Stegostoma tigrinum: one gene and its partner. The protein of the gene in region 1 interacts with the protein of each later gene in a biochemical or structural test. Links are inferred from orthologs where the notes say so. Each region holds a gene or a part of one and is shown in the gene's direction. Other genes may lie near its edges.

Evidence for each region. The genes of interacting proteins can lie anywhere in the genome.
Region 2: the proteins of crebbpb (region 1) and KH domain-containing, RNA-binding, signal transduction-associated protein 1-like form a complex in vitro, tested with the Homo sapiens proteins (2 studies listed by BioGRID, with this or other methods). The link is inferred for Stegostoma tigrinum from reciprocal best matches to the Homo sapiens genes CREBBP and KHDRBS1.

What each region holds. Positions count from the first base shown.
Region 1 is NC_081376.1:32,962,717-32,966,468, reverse strand, and holds the start of crebbpb (CREB binding protein b), read left to right. Parts: upstream 1-828; 5' UTR 829-1,575; coding exon 1,576-1,660; intron 1,661-3,752. UniProt on the Homo sapiens protein: Acetylates histones, giving a specific tag for transcriptional activation. Mediates acetylation of histone H3 at 'Lys-18' and 'Lys-27' (H3K18ac and H3K27ac, respectively).
Region 2 is NC_081377.1:841,978-845,729, forward strand, and holds the start of KH domain-containing, RNA-binding, signal transduction-associated protein 1-like, read left to right. Parts: upstream 1-1,172; 5' UTR 1,173-1,216; coding exon 1,217-1,307; intron 1,308-3,752. UniProt on the Homo sapiens protein: Recruited and tyrosine phosphorylated by several receptor systems, for example the T-cell, leptin and insulin receptors. Once phosphorylated, functions as an adapter protein in signal transduction cascades by binding to SH2 and SH3 domain-containing proteins.

The sequences.
Region 1 (3,752 bases):
TTAAAATTTGCTTATTTGACCTCGCTTTTGGTCATCTAATATTTGTCTTGGGTAAGTGTTATGTTGTTTGATAATGCTTCTGTGAAGGGCATTGAAACATTCTTCAATGTTGAAGATTCCATAAAAATCAAAGTTTTAAAATAACTATTCCGTCAAATAATAGTCAATGTCTAAGAAAAAAAATACAATGTTTCATCTTCGACTCCAGACCATCCAACACTCGAGGGAGACCGACTCGTTGCTTCGTTTGGAGATGAATGTACGTTTCAATCCACAGCAGTCATAAGATGTCTAAGCCCTTTATACAATCTCAGCTTGTGCTACCGAAAGGGTATCATTTGAAAATTGAGGCGCGACTTTGATTATTTGTACTTCCTGCCCACTTAATTTAGGAAACTATTTTTGTAAATAGATATTTTGAGAAGTCCTAAGGCTATCACATTTTACAATTGCCAACAGGAAGCGATATTAGTATTTCGAATGGCGTTAAACGTGTTAATGTAATTTGGTTCCGTAAATGTCGTGAAATTGTATTACACGTTTAATAATATAGTTATTAACACGTAAATATTACAACTCATTCACAGCTGTAAGCTCCGTGCGCATGTCCATTTGATAGTAACCCCACAATGCATCAGGAGCTCTGATGACGTAATGTACGTTCGGCCGCTTGCTCCCTCATTTCTTACGGAGACGGCCAATCCGCAGGCGGCGGACGGATCACGCGGAGTCATCATCCTCCACCCGAAGCAGGGTTCGGGTATTTCCGACCAGCTACTAAGGTGCTTTCGGCAGTTTTCGTATACTTGGCTCCGCCTCCCTCATCCTTCCTCCCCTCCCCTTCCCCCTCCATCGGTGGACGGAACGTCAGGAGGAAAAAAAACTTTAAGATCAACAGCCGCCATTTTGGTGGAAAATTTCATCCGAAATTTCGGAGGAATTGAACGGCGTCGGGAGCTGTGCTCGCTGTCTTGAGTATTCCTCAAAACCCATATTCGGTTGCGAAATCCACATAGCCGTCAAATTATTGCGAGTCCGGGCGCCTTCAAACGGTGGAAAAGCGATAAGAGAAAGGGGACCGGCTGAAGGGGAGGGGGGAGGTGGTGTTTAAAAATCCGTATCCCCTTCGCTCCGCCGTACCAAGTCTTTGGGTGAAGTATTGTTTTCATCGGCTCAGCCGGCAGCGGTCTGGCGTCAGTCCCCGGCCTGGTCCCGGTCCTGGCCCTGGCGCTATACCGAAAATGCGGCCTGACTGATCGGCTCGATTTTATGTTTTTTCCAACTGCATATTAAAGTGAAGATAGGGGTTGGACAGCTTTTTTGTTCCCTGTGTGAGGGGGGGAGTGGAATGGCGGAACAGGGTGTCGCGTTAGGGGAATGGCGCTGTGGCTGAGGAGGAGCGGGCTCTCGGTGCTAGTCAAAGGCCCCAGGGCCTGCCAGAGTCGCTGCTGTGTCCGTCTTTATCCCGCCCCCTCACCCCCCTCACCTTTCATGTTCATTAGATGAAACTAGCTTGAAAAGGGAGGGGGGAACGATTTATACGCATACACACGTATAAAATATATATATAATAAAATGGCCGAGAACCTACTGGATGGACCGCCGTCAGCCAAACGGCCCAAACTCAACTCGCCGGCGCTCTCTGCCAGTGACAGTACAGGTAAGGAAGGGACATCGCCTCGGACAACCGCGGAGTATAAGTAGTTGCATAGCTGCCCAACACTCCTCTTTGTGGATGGTAAATAGGAATGGAGTGCGTATGTTTTGAAATTGAGGATTTTGGCAGAAACTTAAAACCGTGTTTCTTTTGGTGGGGAAGGTTATTGATAGGTTTTGTTCCTTCCTTCACTCCAGCTCCCGATCCCGCAAAAGTAAAACTAGCAGTGTTTACGATCGTTTATTTGGGAAGGTTTGAGCCAGAATGGCTCAGTAAGGTGTTGAAGATCATTAGATGTTCTGAGATATTGTATATTTAGAGACAAGTAAGAAGGAATTATATTTGAGAGGATATTGATTGGTGTAAATCTTCAGCATTGGTTACGAAACTCATTTCGCACTTTTTATGTTCGATCGTTGATAGATTTGCACCATAATTTTCGCGTGAGCAAATACCAATAAAATTAGACCTTGGTTTCGGTGTGATGAAATAAAGTTTGTCTCGCACATTTGTTTAAAGTGTTATAACATTTGAGAAATTAGACTAGTGGTGAATTTCGCTGGTAGAAAGCATTTCGTTTAAACTAATGGAATACGTAATAAAGTAGAATAATATTTATCAAACGTCTGCTGATTAAATATTTTTTAGTCTTTCAACTGACTTGTGACAGGTGAAATCGTAATTTGTTAACTTCACGTAAAAATGTATAACATGTAAGATTGCAGCATTTGTTGGAAAATATGCATCTGATACTGTGTGTAAACCGTGCATGTGTCGCAAGTAGCAGACGTCCGTATTTTGGGCATTATTTTGTAAATAGAAACTTGTAGCGGTGAATTGCGTTAAGGCCACTATAGTTGGCGGAAGCCCAGGGATTTATAACACCTCCCTGTTACTGTCCCGTGGATCCTGGTGAGCCAAGTGATCAATGTTATTGTCAAAATCTTAATAATATTTGCAGCTTACCGTCAGGTATGCCAACATTTAACGGGAGAGATGCAACTAAAATGCAGTTGCCTGTGCAATTTACGTATTTTTCGTTTTGCGATAATTTAATGAGTATCCCAACTGACACTAGACTATATTGGAAGGCAATAATAATTATCGACAGTTGAGTTTATGGGTGAGATTTTTAAACTAGTATATTATACTATTAATTCTGCAGTAGTGGTGTTTGATGTTTGCAGTGAACAAATAAAAATAAAATGAAGTGTTTACTTTGGTAGACTATTTACCCCATTGGGCCATTAAAATATGTGAACAAATGAATATTTTAAGCTCTACTTTCATCTTTTGGCAATTAATTGTTGTCGGATGCTACACCTGTGCACATGTACAATCACTGGGTGGTGGATACTTTGGCGCATTCTGTCCTTGAAGCTTGAACTGCAGCATATGATGTTTTAAATTATGCAGCATCACATTGAAGAAACATAGGTCATTTGTATGTTCACAGACAGTTGTGCAAGTTGTAGAGTATCATCACTAAGGTTTGTGAGACCAAGATTTAAGTAATCATATTATTTCCTGACCTTTTTACCTTTGGAACTACCCCCACTGCTGTTGTATAAAGTCTCTTTTCACAATGTGCAGGCCTGTGTTTTGGCTTCTAAGACTGTTACAAGTCATTGTAAATGTTTTTATTGGAAACATGTTTGAAACACATTACACACTTCAGAAATGCTTACCATTATAACAAATAAGGATACTTGTATATGTATGAGGGTTTAATAAGTTGCACTGGTGATTTGCTAAACAGATTATTCTTCTTAAAATAGCATCAGGCACTGGTCAAATTTAGTATATTCCCTACAAAAGGTTTTGGCTTGTTAATCAGTATTTACTATGATGCCAATATTTAAAATGCAATTGTTGGCATAAATGATCTCAAACTTCTGCAATTGTATGAGAAACAATCAATTTTTTTTATTAAAAGTGGCTATTTTCCGAACTCCTTTTAAAATTAGAAACTAATAGACGTAGCTAATTGCCACACAAATCTTGATATATTTGGAAGTTTGTTAATAAAGATTAAGTTGTTAGAGTTGGTTAACTGTTAAAAACTTAGCAAGGTATTGCTCATTAAATAGGATTT
Region 2 (3,752 bases), on another chromosome or scaffold:
TGGAATTATCTTATCCCTGGCTCTCGCTCCCTCACTCTCTTCCACCAGTTCACTCATTTTCCTAAAATTTCTCTCCATCTCTCTGCCTCTCCCTCTCTTTCTATCTTTCCATCTCGCTGTCCTTCAAACTTCCTCAGTTTTGTCCTTTTTCTCATCCTGGTTTCTCTCCCCCCCCCCCCCCCCATTCTCTCTCAATCTTCCCATCCCCCAAAGCCCATCCTTCTTCTCTCCTCACCCCCGTATTTCTCTCCACCCTAATCTATTTTTCCACCATGATCTCTCTCTCTCTCTCTCTTCTGCACATCCTCCCATCCCTGCACTCGCTGTCCTCTGTTCCCCTCTTCTCCACGCTCACCTCTCGGGTGCACACCCTCTCCTCCACACCCACCCCAGGCAGTCTCACTACTCCTTGCGCACGCCGCCCCCCCCCCCCCCCCCCGACCCGTCTTCTCCACATTCTCCCAATGGTCTCTCTCCTCTCCCAAACTTTCTGTGCTCTCTCCCCTCTCCATTTCCCACCCCCTGTGTACGGTCCCTCTTTTCCACACGCCTCTCCTCCTCCTTGACACCTGTCCAGGGTCCCCTTCCTTCCACGACCCTCACCATCGCAGCAGACCCTCCCCCGGCCGCCGCCGCCAACATGGTCATCCTCCTCCACAATCATGACTCCCATGGTACCTGTCCTCCACCACCCACCTCCCGGATGATCTCTGTCCTTCACACCAGCCGCCCTTTCACGTGTGCCCCTACGTGGTCTATCTACTCCATGATCCCGCGTCTTGGTTCCCCCACTGAGATCTCTATCCTCCAGCTGGTCCGTCTGTATCCTCCACTGTATCCTCGCCCAACCCTCTCCTTCTATTCCCCCCGTTTTCTGAACCTACTCTCCCCCCTACAACGGTCGGAGAGGGGGGCGGAACAGGGTGGCCTCCAGTAGGTTGTTTGGCATTCCTGTTGATACCAGTTGGCGGGGAAGCTCTATGATTGGCAGGTCAGCCAGCCATCGAGCTAGCGGGAAATAAGAGCGGGAGACGGTGTCATCGATATGGGTGGGATAATATATGATTGACAGTTACCTAAGCGCGTAGGTATGGAGAATGCCTCCGATGGACAGCTATGTGGCCAATGGGAGCTCAGGGGTGGGACTCACCATCAGGCAGTCGGCAGTTGCTGCGCAGGCGCATTGTCGGTGTGCGAGGAAGCGGAGTGAACGGCCATGGCGAATGAGAAATATCTGCCCGAACTTATGGCGGAGAAGGACAGTCTGGACCCGTCCTTCGTCCATGCAAGCAGGTTACTGGCTGCAGGTAAAGAGTAGGGCTCTGCCAGTGCTGTGTGGGCGGGATTTGGAGCTTTAGGTTCAGGTCTGCGATGGCCTCCGGGCCTGTACTTCGTCGCCTCGGCCCCGTGGAGAACAAAGGGCGGAGCGTGGGGGAGGGGTGGGGGTTCGAAACCGATCCCGAAATCACCCCGATTCGTGCTGTTCGTCGTCGTCCCCCCCCCCAATCCCTACTGCTAGTTCCCGATCCTCAATCTCCGGACTATTCTTGCTTTTCTAGATTACTAATTAATGATGTAGACATTGGTGCAAATGACAGAATCTGCAGGCGAAAAGAAATTTTAAAGCAGTGTAATTTGGGGAACGTGATGTAGAACTTCTAAAGGATGTAGACAAGTGGTTCAGTGAGGAGAAATGCGAAGAGTTTTTGTTGGAAGGCCATGGAGTGCACTGTAAAATGAAGGGCAGTCACCTTACGGTGTTTCAGGAGCAGAGAGACCTGCGTGTATACTTGCAGAGGACCTTAAATGTTGCAGACAAGTTGAGAGCTTGGCTAATAAGTCATAATGGTATCCTAGGTTTTTTTTGCAGGGGCATATAGTTGAGGAGCAAGAAGTAGATGTTGAACCAGCATGGGGCACATGTTTGTCTTCCTGGCTGGAGAATTGTCTAGTTCTGCACTTTAGAAGGCATGCAAAGGTACTGCCAAGGGTGCAGAAAAGAGTAATGAGAATGGTCTCAAACAACAGGACTTTCTGCGTGTAAATGTATTGAAGAAATTAAGGCTGTTTATCGTAAAGGAAAGAAGATTGAGAGAACATCTGTTGGACCCCTCCAAATCATTGACATGCTTAAGAGCATTGTGTTCAGTTCTGATCGCCACATTATGGCAAGGATGTGATGGCTTTGCAGAGGGTGCAGCAGAGGTTTACAGGGATGTTACCTGGATTGGAGGATATGAGCTGTAAGGAAAAAGTAGAAAAATTCGGGTGGTTTTCTCTGGAGCAGCAGAGGCTGAGGGGATACTTGATAGAAGTCTGTAAAATTGATTTCGTGGATAAGGTTGATGTTCAGAATCGTGTTTTCCAGAGTTACAATGTCTAATGCTAGAGGCCTGTATTTAAGGGTACGGGGGAATGTTCAAAGGACATGTGAGGGGCAGTTTTTTTTTACACAGTGGTAGCAGTCTCGAATGCACTGCCTGGAGTGGTGTTGAAGGCAGACATGTTGAGGCCATTTAGGAGACTTCTAGGTAGGTGTATGACCATGTGACGAATGGAGGGATATGCAACAAGGGCAGGCAGAAGGGATTAGTTTTATTTGTCATCATGTTCGGCATAGGATCAAGACTGAGAAGGCATAGATTTACATTTTCTTTTGAAAAGCAACGAGAAAAACCTTTCCAAGTAGAAAATGTTTTGGATATGGAATACTCTGCCTGTGTTGTAGGCACGTTCAATTGAGGCATTTAAATGTGAGTTATTTATTTGAAACAGTGAGTTTTGAGAAGATTTGTAGCTCAGGTTGAGGTTCTGGATGTGGGTTTGCTCGCTGAGCTGGAAGGGTGGTTTTCAGACGTTTCGTCACCATTCTAGGTACCATCATCAGTGAGCCTCCGAAACGCTGTGTTACGTCCTGCTTTCTATTTATCTGTTTAGGTTTCCTTGGGTTGGTGATGTCATTTCCTGTGTTGGTGATGTCATTTCCTGTTTCTTGAAGCAGTGAGCAGGGTTGCAAGGAGATGGCACAGTGCAATTCTCATTCATAGAGCCAGGGCTGACATGGTTGGGTAAATGCTGTGTCTTGCAGTCTAGACATGTCGTGTGGACTTGGGACATTATCGTTTGAGAATATAAAACTCATGATTGTGGTATAGATGACTACTTCTTAACCAGTGCTGTAATGCTTTGAGGTTTGAAACAAACAAAAATACATTGCTGGCAAAACACAGCATGTCTGACAGCATTTGTGGAGAGAAAACGGAGTCAATGTTTTGAGTTATATGACACTTACTGCGGTTATTTGTGGTATATTCTATCTTAACAAACGAACTAAGTCCAAAGGTATACCATAAATTATGGGATGAGGGCATTGAAGGCTCGGGTGTATTTATTGCCCATCCCTCAATGCCCAGCGGGCGGTTCAGAGTTGGCCACATTGCTGTGGTTCTGGAGTCACGTAGTCCAGACCAGGTAAGAATGGCACTTTGTTTCCCGTAAGGGCATTAGTGAACCAAATGGGTTTTTATGACAATTGACAATGGATTCTGTAATTCCAGACATTTATTGAATTCAAATTCCACAATCTGCCGTGGCAGGATTTGAATCTGGATCCCCAGAACGTAATCTAGGTCTCTGGATTAACAGTCTAGCGATAATACCTCTAGGTCACTGCCTCCCCAGTGTATTTCATATAATCTAAAATTGTTTGTTTTTTTTTAAATGAATTTTAATTGTATGAGGTTTCTGTTGAC